5 linked regions of the Mus musculus genome follow. The protein of the gene in region 1 purifies or fractionates together with the protein of each later gene. This does not show direct contact. Links are inferred from orthologs where the notes say so. Each region holds a gene or a part of one and is shown in the gene's direction. Other genes may lie near its edges.

Region 1 (3,500 bases):
CTCAAATGAGGTTTCTTCTAACTTGTGCCAAGTTGGCAAAAACCTAATCACTATATACATCCTAGGTTTGTGTATGATTTTTTTTTGTTTTGTTTTTTGTTTTTGAGCAGGGTTTCATTATGGACCCCCCAGTTGACCTACTACTCACTTTGTAGACTAGGCTGGCCTTGAGATCTGTCTGCTTCTGCCTGAGTGCTGGAATTAAAGGCATGTGCCACCTTGCTTGGCCTAGAACATGCTTTTTTTAAATTGTTGTTTCCATGCTGGTCATTTTAAATAAAAGTATCAACATTTGTGGGACTTATTAAAAAGTTGTCTTTTATATTATAATCATTCTTAATATTTGATTTTAAATGTATCTCTTTGTCAGCAATTTCAATTTCGAGTGCTATTGCCCTTGTCTTTACTTATTTTATTATTATTGTTATTATTTTTCTACACTTATCTTTACTTCTTATGAGCCTTCTCATAAAATATACTCAGCCTCAGTATGGATTTCATGATTGTTTTTACCCTTATATCTCTTGTCATTGTTACAATTTTTGAAACAGACCCGTGCTGGCCTTGAACTCATGGTCCTGCCTCATCTTCCCCTGTGCTGGCCGTATAGACATGCACCACTATGCCCAGTCCTTATAATTTCTTTATTATGACTTTTTTTTTATTTGACTATTCTCTGATGGTGTAGTGATTGATGATTTTGGTGTTACTACTCAGCAATAGTAGACTTGTTTTTTCCTTTTTCCTTTTTCCTTTAGCTACTCAACAAACCAGAAAATTGTTGTGGACTTAAAGAAAGCCAGATACTTTCTTTACTGAGTGACATAGGTATGTAACTAATATTAAACTATCATTGCGATTTAATGCCCCTTTGGTACACAGAAACTTCTGTGTGCTGCTTAGAAGCGAAGGAGAACTGTTTATATACTCTACAAAGCATAAGGATTTTTATCATCTCTAAAAAATTAGAAATATCCATTTCTTATGATGCTAATGAAAACTAGTGCATTCTGGCATTTGTTTCTATATGAGGGGGTTTTGTTTGTTTGGTTTTGGCTGTGTACCGCTGTCTAATAGATGTTCCAGTGATAACAAAAGTGGTATAAAACAGCATTCATTTCATCCCCTCTCCCACCTTCCCCCAACACTGACGTAGTAGTAGTTTTGTTTATAGAGGAATTACATCTTTAGGAGGATAGGTCCTCAAGTTACCTTGAGATGAATTACTACTGAAAAAAATCCCTAAAATAACCATGATCTAGACCTTTAATGAAACCTCAAAAACCAAGAATTAATTTCCCTGTGTGTTTTGGTGTTGCTTCTTTTCCTGGGTCATGGGCAGTAAAGTCTAGTTAAGAATGTGATTTAGGGGTTACAGCTATTCCTCAAAAATTGATCATTCCATTTGCTTTTAATGTTGATTCCAATAAATGAGTATATATTATAATTTTTTAGTGTTTATTTGATGTTATTGAACTTCTGGTGAAGAAAATCTGAACTACTCTAATGATGATGCAGCTGTGATAGATCGTATAAATGTGGGAGGATGTGGTGTGTTGTGGTATGTGTGGTACATGAGGTCTTGAGGTACGTGTGTGGCACATGAGAGTGATTGTTGGTGCACACTCAGAGGAGCATGCATCTGGAGGCAAGGGCAGGATGGCAAGTGTTCTTGTTTTCTTAACTTGATTGTTTTGAGACAGGGACTCTGACTGAACTGGAAGCCCCATGTTCTGACTAAGCTGGCTGACCAACCAGCTTGAGGTTTGCCTCTCCCCACTTTTAACCCTCTGGGGTTATTGTTACACAAAGTCATACTTGACTATTTTATGTGAGTGGCAGGGGTTTGAACTCAGGTCCTCGGGCTTTCACAGCACTGGCTTTGATCCATTGAGCCATCTCCATGGGCATAATTTTTGCACCAGTATTATAGATCTATAGAAAATGTGAGCTAAAAACTGACTGTAGCTAGACATACCTTTTATTCCAACATTGGGAGACAGAGGTAGAAGTTCTCTGTGAGATCAAGACCAGCAGGCCAGCCAGGGCTATATAGTGAGACCCTGTCTAAAAGAAAGTTGATTGATTGAAAGCTGTAGGCTGATTGATGCCTACAATCCCAGCACTTGGGAGATAGAACAAGAGGATAAAGAATTGGAAGGGATCCTGTGCTACATAGGGATTCCATGCCAGACAGCACATGGGACTTGGTCTCAAAACACTAGCAACAAAAACAAAATGTGATGTGATTTTTTTTAAACAGTATTTTCTGTTACTTCACAATACACTTCAAATTTTATTTAGGATCTGGGATCCGATATCTGCATGAAAACAAAATTATACATCGAGATCTAAAACCTGAAAATATAGTTCTTCAAGATGTTGGTGGGAAGGTAGGTGAACCCTGGAGAATGTTCATGCTTATTGTTATAGTCTCCCTGATATATTAAGTCCTTAGAGACTTTAGTGCCCTTATTAATTATATACACATAGTACTTTATAATTTTTCTATTGCAGTTTTCACTGACTTAAACTGTAGTTTTTTAATTCTGGATTTATTATTGTTGTTCTAGATATATTGTTGTTGCTGCTGTTGTTGTTATTTTATGTGTATGTGGGCCACATGTGGTGCTTGTGGAGGACACAAGAAGAGGGCATCAGAGTCCGTGGGTCTAGAATTACAGTGGCTGTGAGCCATTAGTGAGTGATTGGAATTGAACTCGAGTTCTCTATAAGAGCAACAGGTGCTCGTAACTGCTTGGCCAACTGTCCAGCCCCTGAACTGTAGCTTTGTGGTTAGTTTTTCTTCTCTATGGAACAGTGGCTCCTTAGAGAAGCATCTGTCTTGCTCATGAAACTGCTAGAGATTAAATAACTTTATCAAGGTTATATGGTTAGCCAGGCATATTACCTGACATTTGTGATAACAACTTTTGGGAGGTTGAGGCAGGAGGGTTGATTTAAGTTTGATACCAACTTGTGTTACAGAGTGAGACCCTGTCTCAAAAATTAGCAGAAAGATTAACGTCTAAACAGTGGTCAGACTGTCAGACTTAGCACTTGTGTTGTCTCAGAGCCCAGCTTCTTTGCCATCATCTCTCCGGTTTGTAAAAACATTGGTACCTTTTTTTAAAATTATAATTATGTTATTTTGTGCGCATGCATGCATGCATGTGCTGTAACTTGTATTCAGGTAACAGGACAACCTGCAGGAATTAGTTCTCCTCCTCTCATATGGAACCTGGGGTTCAAACTCAGGTCATCAGACTTGGTATCAGGCGCCTCTATCAGCCGAGCCCTCTCAGTGGCTCACCTTTTTATTTTTTGCTGTGCTTAGACCCTTATACATGCAATGGGAGCAATCTGTCACTAAACTACATCCCCAACCTACCTTCCTTTACAGATATTTCAACAATTTAATACATAGTATGTCTTATTATTCACAGACAATACATAAAATAATTGATTTGGGTTATGCCAAAGATGTTGATCAAGGAAGT
Region 2 (4,070 bases), on another chromosome or scaffold:
GGGCAGGCAGTGGAGCTGCCTCAGGATAGGTTTGGAGGTAATGCCACTGAAGAAATGGGAACAAGTACTTGTAGAAAAATGAAGTCTTGTTTGTGAATTTATTCAGTGAAGAAAGCGGAGAAATAGAGTACCCATTGAAGGTAATTTTGGATCCAGAGGAAGCATAAATTTAAGTAAGGAATTTTGGTTATGTTTATATGCTGATGAAAATGATTCCTTGAAGAAAGGGGGTTGGAACTATAAAGATACTGGAGTAAAACATGTGGGCATGTGGGAGTGAAATAATCCAGGTCACTGGTCAGGACCTGGCCTTCTTGAATTCAGAGTAACCCAAATGTTAAGAGGATTTTGATAGTAAAAAGTTGATCAGTTAAAAAAGGCTGGGGTTTTGAAGGAAGCTTTTAGTAGATAGGAGTAAGTCTAAATATCAATGTAGGTGAAGAAAACCCTTCTGGGATTAAGCACACCCCACCCCCCCCAATCCATTTTTCTCTTGGTGAGCCTTTTAATCTCTATGCTGTTCATCACCATTAGTAATTATATCTTAATAGTTCACAGATCTGTACCCCATGAGCGACAGGTCAGGGATCTTCTCTAATTTCTGACTACCCAGGGTGACGCGATGAATAAATGTCTTCAGAATTTGCCTTAGCTACTACTGTTAAATGCTGTTTAGGAGAGTCCCTTTTTCCCCTCAGAGCTTTTATTTCGGAAAAGATACCATGGGAATGATATATATATATATATATATATTTTTTTTTTTTTTTCTTTTTTGGCCTAACTGCCTCATCATGAGGATCTGCGTAAACCCAGAAACGCTTCGTCAAATTCTCCTTAGACAAAACTGACTAATTGGCTAGTTGTGATCGACCGGCAGCTGGGTAGGGTACAGGTGCAGAACGCATCTTGCGCATGGGGGCGCGCCGTGGCTTCAGTCAACTGGGGCTCAGAGGGCAGCCGAAGGATGAGACTGAGGCCAACACCTCCCCAGATGTGGCCTCTTCCCTGGGCGCTACTGGCTCGGCCAGTGTGGGGGCGGGGAGGCCGAGGGGGTAGTAACTGTCAAACTCCCGCTTGGCGCCATTATTTAAATAGTGCGTGTGGGTCTCGCAGCTGTGCGTGCCCGGGGCGGGGCAGCGAGCTCCTGGAGTGGGGCGGAGGCCAGGGGCGGAGCGGGAAGGCTGAGGGGCGGGGTGGAGGCGGAGTCAAGTCCGCTAGAGGGGAGGTTCCAGCGCGGCCCCCGGCGAGCTTCATTGCGCTTGCGCTGACAGACGCAAGATGGCGGACAGTGCGGAACTAAAGGTAAAGCGCAGCTCGAATTCACTTCTAATATTCGGCCGCGGAGACGGCGCCGCGGCTGCCGGGGGGATGGGTCGGACCCTGGGGGGCCCGCTCGGGCCGGGCTCCACCCGAGTCTGGAGTTGTAGGCGGGAGAGGCGCTCCGGGCCTTAGTGGAGGGGGCCTGGCTGCGGCGGGCCGTGGGCCCCGGGTGCCTCGGGGGCGCTGACGGGTCGTCCCCGGCGTGTTATTGTTGTGGGCGCCTCTGGCGGGGGTGGCGGGGCGAAGAGAGAGTGAGTCGGGACGTGGCGGCAGCGGCGGTCCCCGGGGCCTGGGTGCCTTACCTTGCAGCCCGCCTCCCCCCCCCCCCCCCATGGGCAGCCAGGGGGTGGGGGGGTGTAGGCTGCTCTGGGAAGAGGGGGATCGGGAAAACTGCCCCGCTGCCGCTTCCTCTTCCTCTTTCGCCGTCCCGGGCTCCTGTCAGGCGCAGCGCTCGGACCCCCGGGAACTTGGCTCCGGCCGCCCCGCCCCTCCGCGGCGCCCAGGCGCCCCCGCCTCGCTTGCCGCCGCTGCCCGCCCGCCTGTCAATGGGTGCCCGGCCAGAGGGAATGCGCGATCCCGGGGCAATCGGCTAGGGAATACGAGGGAGAAGCTCTTGGAAAGTTTAGCGAGCCCGGAGCCGGCGTTGGGGGTTCGGCTAAAGGGTTGCAGGGGGAGTCTGCCCGGGCGGGACGTTACTGTTTCTCTCTTGATTTCGGGCCACCGGGGAGGGTGTGTGTGTGGTGGTGGGGAGCAACCCATTGAAAGAGTGTGCTTTTGGGAGCGGTGGTGGGGATGCAGCCACCTCTCTGCACTCTTGCTGTCTCTGGTGTGGCAGATGAGAGCAGCCTTGGGGGTCTCTAAACACACCATGATGGCGATGCTATAGCTGATGGAGGTGAATGGTTCGTGTTTATATCCCCCGTTGCCTTTTGTTTGTTAGGGACATCTTGCTGGCCATGTTGATTTAAACGAAATTCTCCTCCCACCCACCCCCCATCCCACCCCAACCTCCAATAAATAGAACGTTCCATCGTTCCTCTCAACTGTACCAATTACTCATGCCTCGCGAAATTAGATGAAAGGGTGCCCCCTTTCCCCCGCTTTTTCTCCCACCCCAATCTTTACCTGATGATGGCTCCTTTACTGAAGCACATATACCACTACACAAGCAGTTGGGGGAGGGCTGGTGGAACCCTTATGATTGGATTGTGACAAATGGGTCTCTGCTTGAATAATTCTGGTTTAGTAGCAGGCAGGCAGTTCTTAACTAACGCATATTATTTAGAGGCTCTGAACATGGTATTCCCTTCTCTGGCTTCCTGTGTGCGAACCAAACAGCTGGTTATAGCACATCTCTGTCAGAGTGGAGATTGGGCTATGCAATTATAAATCCTCAGGGAGATTTAGAAATTCTTTTTATAATCAATAAAAAAAATTATTATTTTCCCCATTATAATGAAATAACTTCTAAAACAAGCAGACCACTACCTGTGTTTCTGGACACTTTTCTTTCCGTGCACCTGTGTGTGTGTGTGTGTGTGTGTGTGTGTAAAAGCCTCACTGGAAGATCTTTTTTTCCTTAGTAACTTTGGAGTGTTAACATATCAAGATTTTTGTACAAGATTTGGGTATTTGTTTTTTTTAAGTTTACTTCTAATTACTAACTTGTTTAAGACAGAAAATCTTAATGGATAGCGCCCCCCCCCCCTTTTTTTTTAAGACAGAGGTTTGCTATGTTGCTGAGGTTGGTCTGGAACTCACTGTGTAGACAGACCATACAGGCTTTAAACTTCAGGGATCCTCTAGCCTCTGCCTCCTTAGTGCTAGGATTAAAGGGATTAAAGGCATTCACCACCATTCCTGACTTGGATAGTTTTTTTTATCCCAATTTCAGACTATTGATTTCACCAAGAAAGCCTCTGAAATTTAACATTTTGGAGACAACCACCTTGCATAAAAACAAACGAACAAAAAACCCCAGAGCTCAAGTATGTGTATTTTATGTAATTATTTTTCTGTCACTATGTTACTGTCATCTTTTATTTTTGATTTTGTTTTGAGGCAGGGTTTCTCTCTGTGTAGCCCTGGCTGTCCTGGAACTCACTCTATAGAACAGACTGGCCTCAAACTCAGAACTCAGAGATCTGCCTGCCTCCTGCTTCCCAAGTGCTGGGATTAAAAGCATGTGCCACCCCCATCCTCTTCAGAGTTGCTGCTGTCTTATCTTTGCTTCCTAATACTTTTTAGGAGTCAATTTGAAAAATAGCTGGCCAAGTTTTTTATACATGGACCATGTAGTAAGGCTTGAAAACCATATGGGAAAAGTACCTGCAAAGAACAGAGTACCTTTGTTGTTTCTATTTTAAGAAAGTGCCTTCGGGGCCAGGCATAGTGGCCCCATACCTTTAATCCCAGCCTTTGGGAGGCAGAGGCAGGTGAATCTCTTTTTGAGGATCAGCTGATCTACAGAGTGAGTTCCAGGATAGGCAGAGCTACTTAGTAAGATCATGTCTTGATAAAATAAAGAAATAGAATAAAGAAAAAGGAAAAAGAAAGAAGAGTGCCTTTGGGGATAGATGAGATTCCTGGTGTGAGTCTTGTTAGGTAAAGTTTACTCTTTACAGAAATGAGTCAGTATCACACAGACTCTGAACACTTAATGGAAATGGTATTTTTCTAAAACTGGTCTCCATTTTTTCACCCTCTCTAAAAGCTACTTGAAATTTCCAGAGGGTTTGTTTTCCACTCTT
Region 3 (4,154 bases), on another chromosome or scaffold:
AATTTAAAATCGTGTTGGTCATACAACATGGGCAATACCTTCCATCTTGGGGTTCTCTGACCTAACTTGTGACACTCAAACTTGAATTGCCATGCTACTGCTGAGTATTTAGTAAGCATACAGCACTAGCATTAAAGGCAGGAAAGGAAAAGCTATGAGACCATAAATAGGGAAAGGTGCCCCTTATTCGAAGTTGAAACTCCTCATCGGGTTAAAAATAAATAAATAAATAATCTCAGTACAACCAACATTTGCTATGAAGACTGCCGACACAAAGGCAACATTCCTTCCTATAAAGGTATCTTAGGTTAAACTAGCAGTGGATCTTTGCCTAAGGTTCAAGCCTGTGCCCTTCGTCCTTTCCTAGACATTAGACTATTAACTTTGTTTCCAATTAAGTTATCTTAACTCTAGTAACCCCGGAATATGGGGCTTTACCGTAGCAATCCTAATCTTGTTGGGTAGTCTTCAGGAACCACCCTATGATCTCCCTTAAACTCAACAATCCTTCAGAGACATTAGTCCTTCAAAGACAATGTCCTCAAAGGTCGCCAAAATGCTGTACATAAACATTAAGGACAATGAAGCGTGACTCTCCTTATAGCTCTGAGGCATAGTGGCTCCTCTTAAAATCCGTCGTCTTGGTGTGTCCACGGATTCTCAAACCAAACCCTCGGGGCTGTTGTGGACGACAGCCTCGGGAAGGTGACAAAGCGAAGCCATCTGAACTGCCTTAGGAAGTGTGTAAAACGCCACTGGTGTCTCTCTACGATGCTAACTTCCATTAGTGAGCGCTCACGCGTCACGGTGCTCCCCCCGATGGCGCGCGCTAACCGCTGCTCCCGAACCCCCTCGCCAGCTCGGGGTTCCGCTTAAAAAAGTAACGGGCTCACGGCTGAAAACCCGACATGAAGAGGTGCCCAATGAGCACAAGACAAACCCTAGGCTGCCTGACCGCAGACCGCCCAGCACAGAGCAGGGGAAGGCACGACGCGGCTCAAAAGAAACAGGCAGAAAGCGACGGAGTTCATCTTTCCCGCTGGATCCCGCAGGACCAACCGGTCCGCCTTCGGGCTCGCTCCGCGCCAGTTCCGATCGCGCACATTTACTACGTCACGGCGTCCAGTCTCGCGGTATCCTCCTGCCGCCGAGGCCCTTTCGCAAAAGTCTCGCGAAACCTGTTCCTCGGGCCCACGGCTCCGCGCTCGCCCTCCTCCACTCCGCCCCTACCCCGGCTTCTCCCTCACTCGCTCCCCGGGTCAGGAAATTCCCCGCTCGGGTCCGGCAGGCGCGCCTCCTCCCTCCCAGTTCCGAGTTCAAACCGGAACTGGAAGTGTGGTGGGCGGGGCCCGGCGACGGAAAGCGCTGAGGAGCCGAAGCCGGGACTCGGCGGTGGCCCGGGTCGGTCCCGCGCCACGGAGCGCCGGGCGGCGGGGCTGCGGGGCTCCGGGCTGAAGGGCGCTGCGCGAGCCGGAGGGCGGGCGCGGCCCCCCGGGCGCCGCGGGGGATCATGTCGACAGCCTCCGCCGCCTCGTCCTCCTCCTCGTCTTCTGCCAGTGAGATGATCGAAGCGCCGTCGCAGGTCCTGAACTTCGAAGAGATCGACTACAAGGAGATCGAGGTGGAAGAGGTGAGCGAGGCCGAGACCTGCTGCCCCGCGCCGCCTGGGATCCCGGGCGGGAGGCGGCTTCCCCATGGGCTTCGGGGGTTGAGTCTGAATCTGTGATTCTCTACCTGATTCTTATGTGGTCGGCAGTTCAATTATCCGTAAATAGATTGAGCAAAGTTTGGTGGCCGCGGGATTTCAGCTCGCTGGTAGTGGTGTTAGAGTCCAGGATAGTGTGTGTGTGTGTGTCTGTCTGTCTGTCTGTATGTCTGTCTTGTCTGTCTGTGTGACTTCTAGCGCAGTGTGTGACACGAAAGGATGCTTGGGACAGGCTGGTAAAGAGAACGTCGAACGTCTCACGGTGCTTCCCCTGGTCCCGGATTCTTCTTTCTCTGATACCGTAGGTAGTTCTACCTTCTATTGGGCTCTGTAGATGAATTTCAATCTCTAGTAACGTTAAGTCTGTTATGAAAACATGTTTCAAGTAGCATAGTCTGAAGAGGCAAGTAGTGATTATGGTGACAGTCAGAATATTACGCTACACCAGAAATCGCTGTTAGAAAAACCGAATAAATTCAATGTTCAGGTGGAAGAGTGTCTTCACTTCATCGCCTATTTTCAGATTCACAGTGGGGCCAGTGACTTCTAAGAGTCTTAATATTTACTGAAGAGGAAAAAATCTGTACATATATTCAAAATGCCGTTTAGAACTCGTTGAAGCTTTGGTTAGAAACGCGTTCACGCAGTTTCTATGAGTTTAACCGTTTTTTAAGAGCACTGTGCATTTTCTGTGCCTTAATGTGTGGGTTTTTTATAGCTAGACTGAGTTGTCTTTTCTTCATTTTTAAAGTATTATAGTAAGGAGTTAAAAGATGCAAGCAAATTAACAATCAATAAATACATCTTTACCTTAGAGGACTACTAAGTCATATCTTTGTATCACAAAAACTAACCAGAGATGAGTGTGTTCATTGAGAGCATGATTATCTTAGAAAAAGTGTGCTGGATAGGGGAAGGTTTGAGACAGAGGAAGACGCTTCAGAGATAGACAGAGCACTGTGGGACTTGGTTTCCTACTGCTTTCTGTGTGTTCGTTTCCTTAACTGTAAGATGGGAGTGATTGCTACTTTATCAGTGTGACAAATCCAGTTAAGCAGTGTGTGCAGAAAATCCAATATAGTGCCTGACATATTGTTAGGAAGCAAAGTTCCAGACAGGAAGGGTGACCTGCTTTAAGGTCATATGCTAAAAGAAGGCCTGTTTTTGAAGAGGAAAACATTTTATATGTCCCCCCCACCCCCATTGAAGCTAAGATAAATTCCTTTTTTCAGAAGCGGGTAGTTGGTCCAGCTTTCATGGATAACATTCTTTTTTAAGACTAAAACTTCAGTGAGTCAGTATACAAGAATCGCAGCTTTTAAATAAGCATTTACGTGTACTCTCATGAATTGCTGTCCTTGTAGACTACAAATTGTTATATAATAATAACTTGTACTTCATGGTCTACCACATATTTCCACGAGCTTACTTTGTTTGATTTTTGCAGCCTTAGTTTTTTGCACACAACTTTTTAAAGCTTTCACATTCTTGCCTCATTGGGGCCTGCAAGTTGCTAAGGGAGACAATAATCAATTTGAAGCCCTCAATCCAAAGCTGGTACATTTTTGAAATTTGTTTCGTCTTAGAACCTAGTTTATTTTTATAGTCCCGATTTAATTCAGGCCTTTCTGATGTCAAAACCATTACATAATTTCCATTATAGTCTTCCTGTGAGCACATTAAAGAGATTGTGCAGTCAGAGGTGCATCATGGGCACTCAAACTATTTCAACTTACATTCCATCTCTAGTTTAAATCATAAATAGGAAAACAGAAAGATGACCCAACATGAAAACTATCTCACATGCCTTCAGTGTTTTATATGGACAAGTATATCATAGCCCTATCAATTAAGAAAAGAATGGCTTGGTGTATAACCCAGTATTGAAGTTCTTGCCCTCTGTGCTTGAGGCTCAGGCTCCAATCCTAGCACCACAGAAAGCGAAACAGTAAGTCGAGAGAACCACATTATTTATTTCTCAACCCATAATATAATGGACTCAGCACTACACAAAGATAATTAGAAGCTGTGGCAGGAAAACATCTAACTCCAGGCAGATGGGGAATCATTTCGTAGATACACATTTCTAAGACAGCAGATGTTTCCATCATTGCAGTATCAGAGTACTGTGGCTCTTCACTTTCATGTCAGATTATATTAGTTTTCTGCCTAAGAAATCTACATGAGTACTTAATTTTTATAAGTCATTCAGTTTTTAACCTTCTGTACGTCAGTGAAGAGAGTCAGGACATAGACTAGACACTTTCAGGATTGGATGGTTTGGTGGAAAATGTACTCAGATTTAGAAAATTAGATGCTGCATTGTGTCAGAATATATGGAGTCAGGTCATTCAATTTGGAGACCTGTGATATCTCTCTTAAATTGATAGATTAGACAAAATTATTAGAAATCTATTCCTGTTGTAAAAATAAAATACCTTGTTTCCAA
Region 4 (4,300 bases), on another chromosome or scaffold:
TGGGTCTTTGGAAATGCCAAGAGTAAACCACCTAGAATGGAATAGGTAGAGTGAGCAGAATGGCATCCATTGTGAATGTTCAGTAGAGAAATGTCTGCAGAGATCTCGCTGTCAGCTTCTCCCTAGGTAGTCGGGTGTTCATTTAAGGTGCTATAGTAGGGAGCGGGAGTTTATCGAGGCTGATCTGGTCACGGGCTTTTCACATTAGAGACCTCAAATTACACCCAGGATCCACGCTACAAGAAAAGTTAGGCTGTTGTTCTCCTACCTTACAGGAAAGGAAGAAGAAAGGAGTGGGCACAGCAATGTTGACTGTGAAATTGGGGGCTCTGTCTTGGGACTTTTCCATCTCTCACCAGTTGCCATGTTGGGAGTACAATTTCCCGGTTCTAATTCTAGCTCCTGAGTTCTCCTCATAGGGATGGTGCTCAGCTCAGAGTGCAGGCATGAAGATGTGTCACTGGGCAGTGTGCCACAAGCTAAACCCTCAAGTCCTGGGCCAGCAAGTTCCATTATGGGAGTGTGTTACAGTCTTACAGGAAGGTAGGATTGCTTTTCTTTTCTTTTTTTTTTTTTAATTTTGTTTTAACCCGTATACGAGTTCACTATAGCTGTCTTCAGACACACCAGAAGAGGGCATCGGATCCCATTACAGATGGTTGTGAGCCACCATGTGGTTGCTGGGAATTGAACTCAGGACCTCTGGAAGAGCAGTCAGTGCTTTTACCTGCTGAGCCATCTCTCCAGCTCAGGCAAGGTTCCTTATTAAGCAGGGACTGCTGGTGTTGGCCTTGTGATAAAACATTCCTTGTGGCCTTTCTGGGAGCAGGTGGATCTTAACAGGGGCCTGGCCTGGTGAGTGATATGCAACAAGGGGCTAGCAGGTAACTGCTGAGGGCTGGACAAATAGATTTAAGAGAGAATTCTTCAACCCTCTGGCCAATGTTGTCAAGATGGCTATGTCCTCCTTGGCATGGCAGTGTGAAAGGGGAAGGAGACTAACGTTTACAAACCTGGACTTCAATTGTCACAGACATAGCTTGGCTGGACCCTCTGAGAGGCGAGTTACTCAGTATCTCCCACTGCACATCGGAATTCGGTAGCATCCATGTGCCCAGTTGCTTCCTCAAAGTTTGTTTTGAAAAGTAGATTGTGATCATTGATCCAGGAGCAGGAGGCTTGGGTTTCTCCTTCTTCTTCCTGCAGAGCTTTCCCAGAATGGAAGCCAGGAAGTGTCCGAAACCTGGAGAAGCTGGCAGTTACTGCAGTTGCACAGGAGAGGGGAGGCGGGCCCGGACCTTGGCTCCCGCGCTGGGGTACAGAGGCGACACGCCTACCTGACTTCTCGCGGGTGCGAGCCGGTGCGGGAGGGGCCCAGAGCAGTGTGGGAAGGCGGAGTCCGCCGGGAAAACGAAACAGAAGAGAACCGGCCAGGCCCGGACTTCCATGGGCAGCAGCAGCGGCAGGGAACGGAGGGCGAATAGATTTCAGAGCCTGCACCTGAAGTACAATTCGAATCCTGCTCCAGGGAGCGAGCCACTGTCCGGATCCAGAAACTTTGGTAAGACCTGAGGGCTATTTTCCCACTCCTGGATAGCGGTTGCAGGAAAAGGGACCCAGAAGGAAAATGACAAGCCCAATGACTTAAAACTCTGGAGGGAACTCTAGAAGCCTGAATGACCCAGAGACTGAATTCTGCGCCAAGACTTTGTGCTGCACAGTCATGGCATTCCAATTAGCTGTCCTTTGTGACAAGCGGGTCCTGCTCCATCCTCCACCAGCCGCTATGGTCAGGCAACCCCCCCCCCCGCGCCTCCCCCTCCCCTTCCCCCTTCTTCTCCCAACTCCCCCGCCCAGTGCCCACCACTTTCAGACTTACTTGGTGGTTCTGGGCCACAGCCAAATACCCTCCAACTCCTGCCTTCATGCTGCCTGTTTCTACTTCCTGGAAAGCCCTTTCCACCTCACCCCACCCCCAAGTGACTTCCTGGGCAGATCTGTCTATCCAGTCCTTTTCACAGAGCCAATGATATGAATTACCTTCCCTAAGCTAGAAACTCCACTCTGCCCTCATAGCCAGCGCCCCCCGTCCCCTGCCCCATATTTTTCTCAATCTTCCAACTAGTACTTAGTACTAGAATTAGTCTTTTTCCTTCTACCAGTAAGATCCCAAGAGCAGTTTTCATTGGCTTGTATAAGCCTAGCACCTGATCCCTGACAGGTGCTCGTTCCATGTATGTTAAGTGGATGGTAATTCATAAATAACCTTGAATTCTAGAGAAACGGGATTCCCTGTTGCACCTTTAGTACTAACCGTGCCTTGCCCCCTGGAGTTAAAGACACTCTCAGGGCAGAGTGTGTGCTTGTTTTTCAGCTTGCCCTGCGGCCCTGGAGGGACCCAAACACTGTGTGCAGCTTGCTCCTTTATATATCATATACTAGCTGAATGCATGTTGTATGGGAAGCAGCGACTGGAGGGGCTCAGCCTTCTGGGGTCCTACAGTCTTCAGGAAGGAGAAAGATCAGGGTCTTCAGGATATAGGTGAGACAAGCAGGTGGCATTTGTTGGTGCATGTGATGGGCTGCTCTTTGGGTGAGCGACTGAGAGCTGAGAGCAGCTTCCTGGTAAGCATCCTGATTCCTTTATAGGAATCCCACCTGTCAATACAGTGGTGAGGTGGAGTGATTCTAGTTGCCCCTGCAGCATCACAGAAGGCCAGCCCATCCTGAGAGGTGAATAAAATTGCTCCCTAGACAAAGGGTTCCAACTCCTGGGAGCATGGATTGGACCGTACCTAGCCATTCATTCCCCAGTGGACTTATTCATTCATTTGTACCAAGCCCTTATTATAGTTCTGGTACCTTCATTCCTTTTTCAGTTACAACTGTTATATTGATTTTTAAAAAGAATTTATTGGGGGCTGAAGAGATGGCTCAGCGGTTAAGAGCGCTGACCACTCTTCCAGAAGATCTGAGTCCAGTTCCCAGCAACCACATGGTGGGTCCCAACCATCTGTAATGGGACGGATGCCCTCTTGTGGTGTGTCTGAAGAGAGTAACAGACACTGTACTCACATTCATAAAAAGTAAATAAATCTTTCTAAAAAATAATTTATTTACTTTTTATTTTTAATTATGTATCTGTGTATGAGTGTGTGCATAGGAATGCAATTCCCTTGGAGGCCAGGGAAGGTGCCGGATCCCCAGAAGCTAGAATTACAAAGAGGTTTGAGCTGCCTGCCATGCTGAGAACCACACTTGGATTCTCTGGAAGCGCAGCGGTGCCGTTAACTGCTGGGTCATCTTTCCAGCTGTACATTTACTTATTTAGTTTTATGTTTTTCTATTATTTGTATGTGAGCGTGTGTGTATGTATGTGTGTTCACATGTGCTTCAGGGAGCCCGTCTAGGTCACAGGACAACTACGTAGGTCCCAGGGATTGAACTCAGATGGTCAGTCTTTGCAGCAGGCTGCTTCACCTGCTGATCCATCTTGCCAACCCTGGTGAAAACCATCACTCTGTAGGTAGAATGTAAGGTCACAGCCTGGAGGTGATCATCAGGAGAGACGCTAAGTACAGAGCAGGAAGAGACTTGAGGACTGGGTCTCTGGATGAAAAGAAGATGAGGAGGAGCCAGGGAAGGAGGCAGAGAAGGCCCAGCTTGTGAGAACAGAGGAGACCCACAGAAACCTAAGCTAATGGGGGTGGGGAGTTGAGGCGGGAACAAGTGACCGAAATTGGACTATTGGATTTGACAATGAATGAGCCCCTGGGACTCTCGCAACAGCAGTCTTGGTGACTTGTAGAGGCTCCAGATGCTTTTAAAGCAGTGGTCCTCAACCTTCCCCTTAACACCCGCACGTTGTGCTGACCTCAACCATATTATTTTGATGCTACTCCTTAACTGCAATTTTGTTGTTCTGAATTACACTGTAAATATCTGATATGTGACCTCTGTGAAAGGGGTCACAGCCCACAGGTGAAGAATCGTGCTTAAAATTTAAAAAGTAAAATTACATTTCATAAGGCGGTGAGGATCAAATGTGGGGCTTTGTGTAGGCTACACAAGCCCTCTACCAATGAAGCTGTCTCCAAACCCACTGAGCCTAATGTCTTAAATGTACCAATTCATTTTTAAACAGATATGTAGAAACAAAAATGTCCAGATTAGGCGTAGGTGATATTTTGATAATAAGTACACACTGTATAATATTACATCAGGTCTAATGTAACCATACCCAGAAACAGTTCGCTTCCTTTCTCCTGGGGACATTTCACCTCTTTGGCTATTTCTCTGT
Region 5 (4,281 bases), on another chromosome or scaffold:
GCATGGCTGCAGAGCAGGCCAGTGGCAAGTCTCAGTAAGGCGGACCTTACTCACCTTGTGGCTCTGTCTAGGAGGCCCAAAGAGGTGTTGCCAAAGTGTGGACCCAGAAGGAGTCGCCTATCCCCCAACCCACTCCGGACTCGGGGGAAGATAGAGACACAAAGAAGGGAGGCGGGACTGGTTACTGCATAGAAACAGGGCTCACCACAGGTAGGAGCTGTCTCCAACAGTGGCTTCCAGGAAGAGCATCCGAGTGAGAAGGGTCACTAGAGAACAGCCAGAAATTGCTGTGTTCCACAAGAGGGCGCCCTGCTGGCTCTAACTGTGTAGCAACGGGATGGGGGAAGTAGGAGAGGAGGAGTTGGGGGCCTGGGGTGAAGGTTTGCTGGGCGAGTGATGGATATTTGTGTGACTCTCAGCCTCTGAAGGCCACTCTCAGGGTCAGGGATACTGCTGGAGCAGAACAGAACTGCTGCTGAGCCTCTGACTTAGCGCCCTGGAGGCTCTCTGAGCTGGGGCAGCTGTGCAGCAGATAGGGCACAGAACAGAGCCCCCCATCCCCATCCCCGTCTGAAGGGTATGGGGCGTGGCTGAGAGGAGAGTGAGTTCTTCTCCGGGAGTGGGGTGTGCTTCCCAGGTCAGCCCCAGGAGCCCGAGAAGGAGCTCCGATTTCCATCCTGGGCGATAGCGTGGACTACTAAATCTACCCTCTTGTTTACACTCCTGGTGAACTCTGACCCTTGTATGAAAAACAAAAAATGCCCCCTGGTTAAAAATACCAAACACATGAAGGTAAATTCACAAAAGGGTTACTATCAAGTCGGGCTTCTGGGACGAGGGAGGGGCCCTGCGCAGGAACTGCTGAGGCTGGCCGAAGGGGGAAGGACTGAGGATGGATAAGAGGCAGGAACCACCTTGACTCTTCAATTCCGGGACACCATAAGGAACCGCCCCCCAAGCCTCACCCATCTGAGTCCACAGCAAGGTCTTGGCTGACTGAGTCCTACCCCTGAATCTGCCCCCTCTGGGTGTCCAGGTGTGCTCCCGTCCTCCCTGTCACCTGGGGAGTCCTTATCAGTTGCTGTGGCAGGCAGTACTGGGTTGGATGAGCCCTCAATAGCCTTCTTTCTTGTGTTGGCTGGCCTTTAGGACACCGGTGACCGGTCTCTCCCGGCTCCCAAGATGGGGACAGTTGGGCCTCTTGAGAGTCAAACTGATTCACTTCCCACGCTGGCCTCCCTCCTTGGGGTCTGGAGAGCTAGGCAGGGAAGGGCCAGGTCCCACAAACCGGGAAACCCAGACCAGAGCTGGAGCTCTGGATCTGCGGCGGGGCTCCGTTACCCGCGTGGCCCTGGCTCGGGGCCACCCGAGGGCGGCGCCTGCGGGGCCGCGCTCGCGCTCACGGGGTGCCTCGCCCTGGCCGCGGGCCGCGCCGGGGGCGCCCGGGGCGGCGGAGGCGGATGTGGGCGGGCGGCGCGGGCGCGGGGCGGGGAGAAGGCGGGCCGGCGGCGGCGGCGGCAGCACCGAGTCGGCGGGCGGCCGGCCCAGCGCGGCAGCGCACGCGAGTCCGGGACCAGCGGAGCGGACCGAGCAGCGTCCTGTGGCCGGCACCGCGGCGGCCCAGATCCGGCCAGCAGCGCGCGCCCGGACGCCGCTGCCTTCAGCCGGCCCCGCCCAGCGCCCGCCCGCGGGATGCGGAGCGGCGGGCGCCCGAGGCCGCGGCCCGGCTAGGCCCAGTCGCCCGCACGCGGCGGCCCGGTGAGTGCCCGCGCCGCGCCCTGTTCCGGGCCGCGGCCACCCCGCTTTGTTCCCGGCCGCGCCGCGCCTCGGAGTAGGAGCAGGAAGTGGCCGAGCGGAGGCCTGGGCGGGGAGCGCGCGGGGCCGGGCTGGTCGCGCAGGAGGCCCACGCCGGCGAGGGTGCGGGCGGCCGCTGCGTGACCTTGGGTGGCCGCTCCACGGGGCCAGGTCGCGGGAGAGGGGCGCTGTTGGTGTGCGCAGTGGGGGCCGGTGCGCCCTGGGGCCTGGGGCTGCCCGGGCACTCGGCCAGCGAGGGTAGGAGAAAGGCTCGCCCCGCGGCCTGCGTGCGGTGGGAGGGCCCTGGGAAGGAGAACTCATTTCCCACGGACAGAAAGTTGTGCGCGGTGGCACAGTGCCCAGGCTAGCCCACAAAGGACTGCTAACCCTCCTGGGCCCGGAAGCTGCTTCCTGGACTAGGTGGTTTCTGGAGGTGCCGGGGGGGGGGGGGGCCTTGAGGACGGCGTGGACTCGGTCTCCCGGATCCGGGATACTGGCTGAGCTGATGGAATTGTCTAAAGAGGACTGGTTTCTAAGTTGGGCGGTGGTGGAACCTTGGGCCTCTGCTGTGTGGCCAAACTCCTCCTTCCCCCAGGCCCCTGGTCTTGCTCCAGGTGGCTAGCCTTGACTGCCTAGAGCCATCACTAAAGTGAAGGGCGAGTCGCCTTGGTGGGGCCCCAGCTGGGCGTGTGGCTCACGGGCCAGTGTCCCAGAGGGGCTGAACTCTTAAGACTTAACAATAGCAACCATATGCCCTTACGGCATGGCATGGTGGGAAGAGTGTCCCATGCTTAAGTCGGCTTGATGTGGACATTGGCGTTAACATGGCTGTGTTTCTTCACTCCGTGTGTATGAATTTATTTTTACACGGCTCTGGACAGCTGACTGTCATCAGCAGACCTTGGGGCTGGGTGGGGGTAGGGGACATCCACCGAGAGAGATCTTGCAGTACAGCCCTCTGCCTCCAGGCCACACCCACTCTGACAGTCACTGAGCTGGGATTTCTTCTTGGCTTATCTTTTTCGTTCTGGCTTTTAGTCGCCACCTGCTTGCTGAGGGAAGGGCTCTTTCCTTCTTGGGCCAGGTGTGGTCTTTCCTACTTTGGCATTTGGCATTTGACACATAGCAGCCGGCCTCCCTTTTGTTCCACATTTAGCTTCATACAAGGCAAAGTGACAGAGACTCTGGGTGCCAGCTTGTGTCTTCTGGGCTAGAGAGATGACATAGGGGGTTGCCAGTCAGCTGTAGTAGACCCTAGTTGGGATCTATTCCACGGCGGCCTTCCAGTCTTTTCCTGGGGATTGTCCACATGAACTCCAGGTGGAGGGACAACACAGGCTTGCTGGTCAAGGGCTGTTCAGGTGCACTTTCCCAGAATGTCCAGACTTGGGGATATTTGAAGGATACCTAGGTGTCCCTCTGGAAGAGAAGCAATTGGGGGGCGGGGGGATCTTTGCGAGGTGAGCTGGCACCCTTTGCTTTGCACAGGCTAGCTAGTTGGCCGCTGCAGGACCCTTGTGTGTTACCTGCCCTGTTTGTGGGCTCCCGGATACTGTAATTGTGGGTCGTAACCACTGCTTTGGGTGTTCCCAGCAGGCTGTCTCAGAGTCTCTCTGTCTCAGGCGTAGGGTGAAGGCTCGACAGAACCATATGTGCCTAGTGTGTACTCACCAAGTGAAGGGGACAGCTTCACAGGCAGGGTGCTGTGTTCCCAAGGGGTCTGGGGTTCTGCCTGAGGAGTTTTTAGTGTTGTCCTGAAGGACTTTGGGCTCAGCTTCATACCGTGCCTGTTCTACTTGTGCTCTCCAGTGTTGGCCTTCCCGCGTTCCTAACGTGAGCCGTAGGGACCCTGCGACCTGCAGTAGGCCTCCCAGACTGTAGGGGGTGGTGAGACAGTGGTAAGCACCCCTCACTAGTGCGAGGCAGAGCAGAAGCAGTCAGGGCTGCCTGGAGGAGGTGGCCTAATCTGCTGGGGTAGCAAATTGAACAAGCTGCCTAACAGGAAAAGCCTTCTGGAAATGAATGTTTCTAGCAGAGACCAGGATGATGGGGGTTGGCCACAGCCTTGCACCCCGGACTACCAGGCCTAGATCTGGGTGTGTAGCATCTACTACTGGAGGGAGGTCTTCTATAGCAACCTTTGGAGACACGTCAGGCAGGCTGGCAGGGAGTAAGGGTGAGGAGGGAACCTGGGAACCAGAGATGGGTAGATCACATGAGGGGACATGGGTAATTGTGGGCCCTCTGGGGCTCACGGAAGCTAGTCCCAAGTGGGACCTTGTCTCACGTGCTTTCTCGGCTTCTTCTAGACGCTGCGGCCAGGCCGGCTGGGCTCAGCCTACCGAGAAGAGACTCTGAGCATCATCCCTGGGTTACCCCTGTCTCTGGGGGCCACGGATACCATGAACGACGTAGCCATTGTGAAGGAGGGCTGGCTGCACAAACGAGGTAAGTCCGCACTCCACAGGAGAAGCAGGCCGGCCTGGG

Evidence for each region. Proteins that work in one complex are often made in the same cells at the same time.
Region 2: the proteins of Chuk (region 1) and Pias1 purify together in Homo sapiens (affinity purification with western blotting; 3 studies listed by BioGRID). This does not show direct contact. The link is inferred for Mus musculus from reciprocal best matches to the Homo sapiens genes CHUK and PIAS1.
Region 3: the proteins of Chuk (region 1) and Map3k7 purify together in Homo sapiens (affinity purification with western blotting; 9 studies listed by BioGRID and IntAct, with this or other methods). This does not show direct contact. The link is inferred for Mus musculus from reciprocal best matches to the Homo sapiens genes CHUK and MAP3K7.
Region 4: the proteins of Chuk (region 1) and Eif2ak2 purify together in Homo sapiens (affinity purification with western blotting; 3 studies listed by BioGRID). This does not show direct contact. The link is inferred for Mus musculus from reciprocal best matches to the Homo sapiens genes CHUK and EIF2AK2.
Region 5: the proteins of Chuk (region 1) and Akt1 purify together in Homo sapiens (affinity purification with western blotting; 5 studies listed by BioGRID). This does not show direct contact. The link is inferred for Mus musculus from reciprocal best matches to the Homo sapiens genes CHUK and AKT1.

The regions. Positions count from the first base shown.
Region 1 is NC_000085.6:44,097,478-44,100,977, reverse strand, and holds part of Chuk (inhibitor of nuclear factor kappa-B kinase subunit alpha), read left to right. Parts: intron 1-758; coding exon 759-828; intron 829-2,304; coding exon 2,305-2,393; intron 2,394-3,446; coding exon 3,447-3,500.
Region 2 is NC_000075.6:62,978,080-62,982,149, reverse strand, and holds the start of Pias1 (E3 SUMO-protein ligase PIAS1), read left to right. Parts: upstream 1-1,270; 5' UTR 1,271-1,278; coding exon 1,279-1,302; intron 1,303-1,622; exon of another isoform or gene 1,623-1,636; intron 1,637-4,070. UniProt on the Homo sapiens protein: Functions as an E3-type small ubiquitin-like modifier (SUMO) ligase, stabilizing the interaction between UBE2I and the substrate, and as a SUMO-tethering factor. Catalyzes sumoylation of various proteins, such as CEBPB, MRE11, MTA1, PTK2 and PML.
Region 3 is NC_000070.6:31,962,753-31,966,906, forward strand, and holds the start of Map3k7 (mitogen-activated protein kinase kinase kinase 7), read left to right. Parts: upstream 1-1,354; 5' UTR 1,355-1,510; coding exon 1,511-1,630; intron 1,631-4,154. UniProt on the Homo sapiens protein: Serine/threonine kinase which acts as an essential component of the MAP kinase signal transduction pathway. Plays an important role in the cascades of cellular responses evoked by changes in the environment.
Region 4 is NC_000083.6:78,879,661-78,883,960, reverse strand, and holds the start of Eif2ak2 (interferon-induced, double-stranded RNA-activated protein kinase), read left to right. Parts: upstream 1-1,500; 5' UTR 1,501-1,561; exon of another isoform or gene 1,562-1,589; intron 1,590-1,879; coding exon of another isoform or gene 1,880-1,927; exon of another isoform or gene 1,928-2,077; intron 2,078-4,300. Other genes in the region: uncharacterized protein Gm26637, read right to left, coding at 1,014-1,243, 1,338-1,500, 1,880-1,927.
Region 5 is NC_000078.6:112,671,477-112,675,757, reverse strand, and holds the start of Akt1 (RAC-alpha serine/threonine-protein kinase), read left to right. Parts: upstream 1-1,481; 5' UTR 1,482-1,758; intron 1,759-1,818; exon of another isoform or gene 1,819-2,052; intron 2,053-4,103; 5' UTR 4,104-4,196; coding exon 4,197-4,242; intron 4,243-4,281. UniProt on the Homo sapiens protein: AKT1 is one of 3 closely related serine/threonine-protein kinases (AKT1, AKT2 and AKT3) called the AKT kinase, and which regulate many processes including metabolism, proliferation, cell survival, growth and angiogenesis.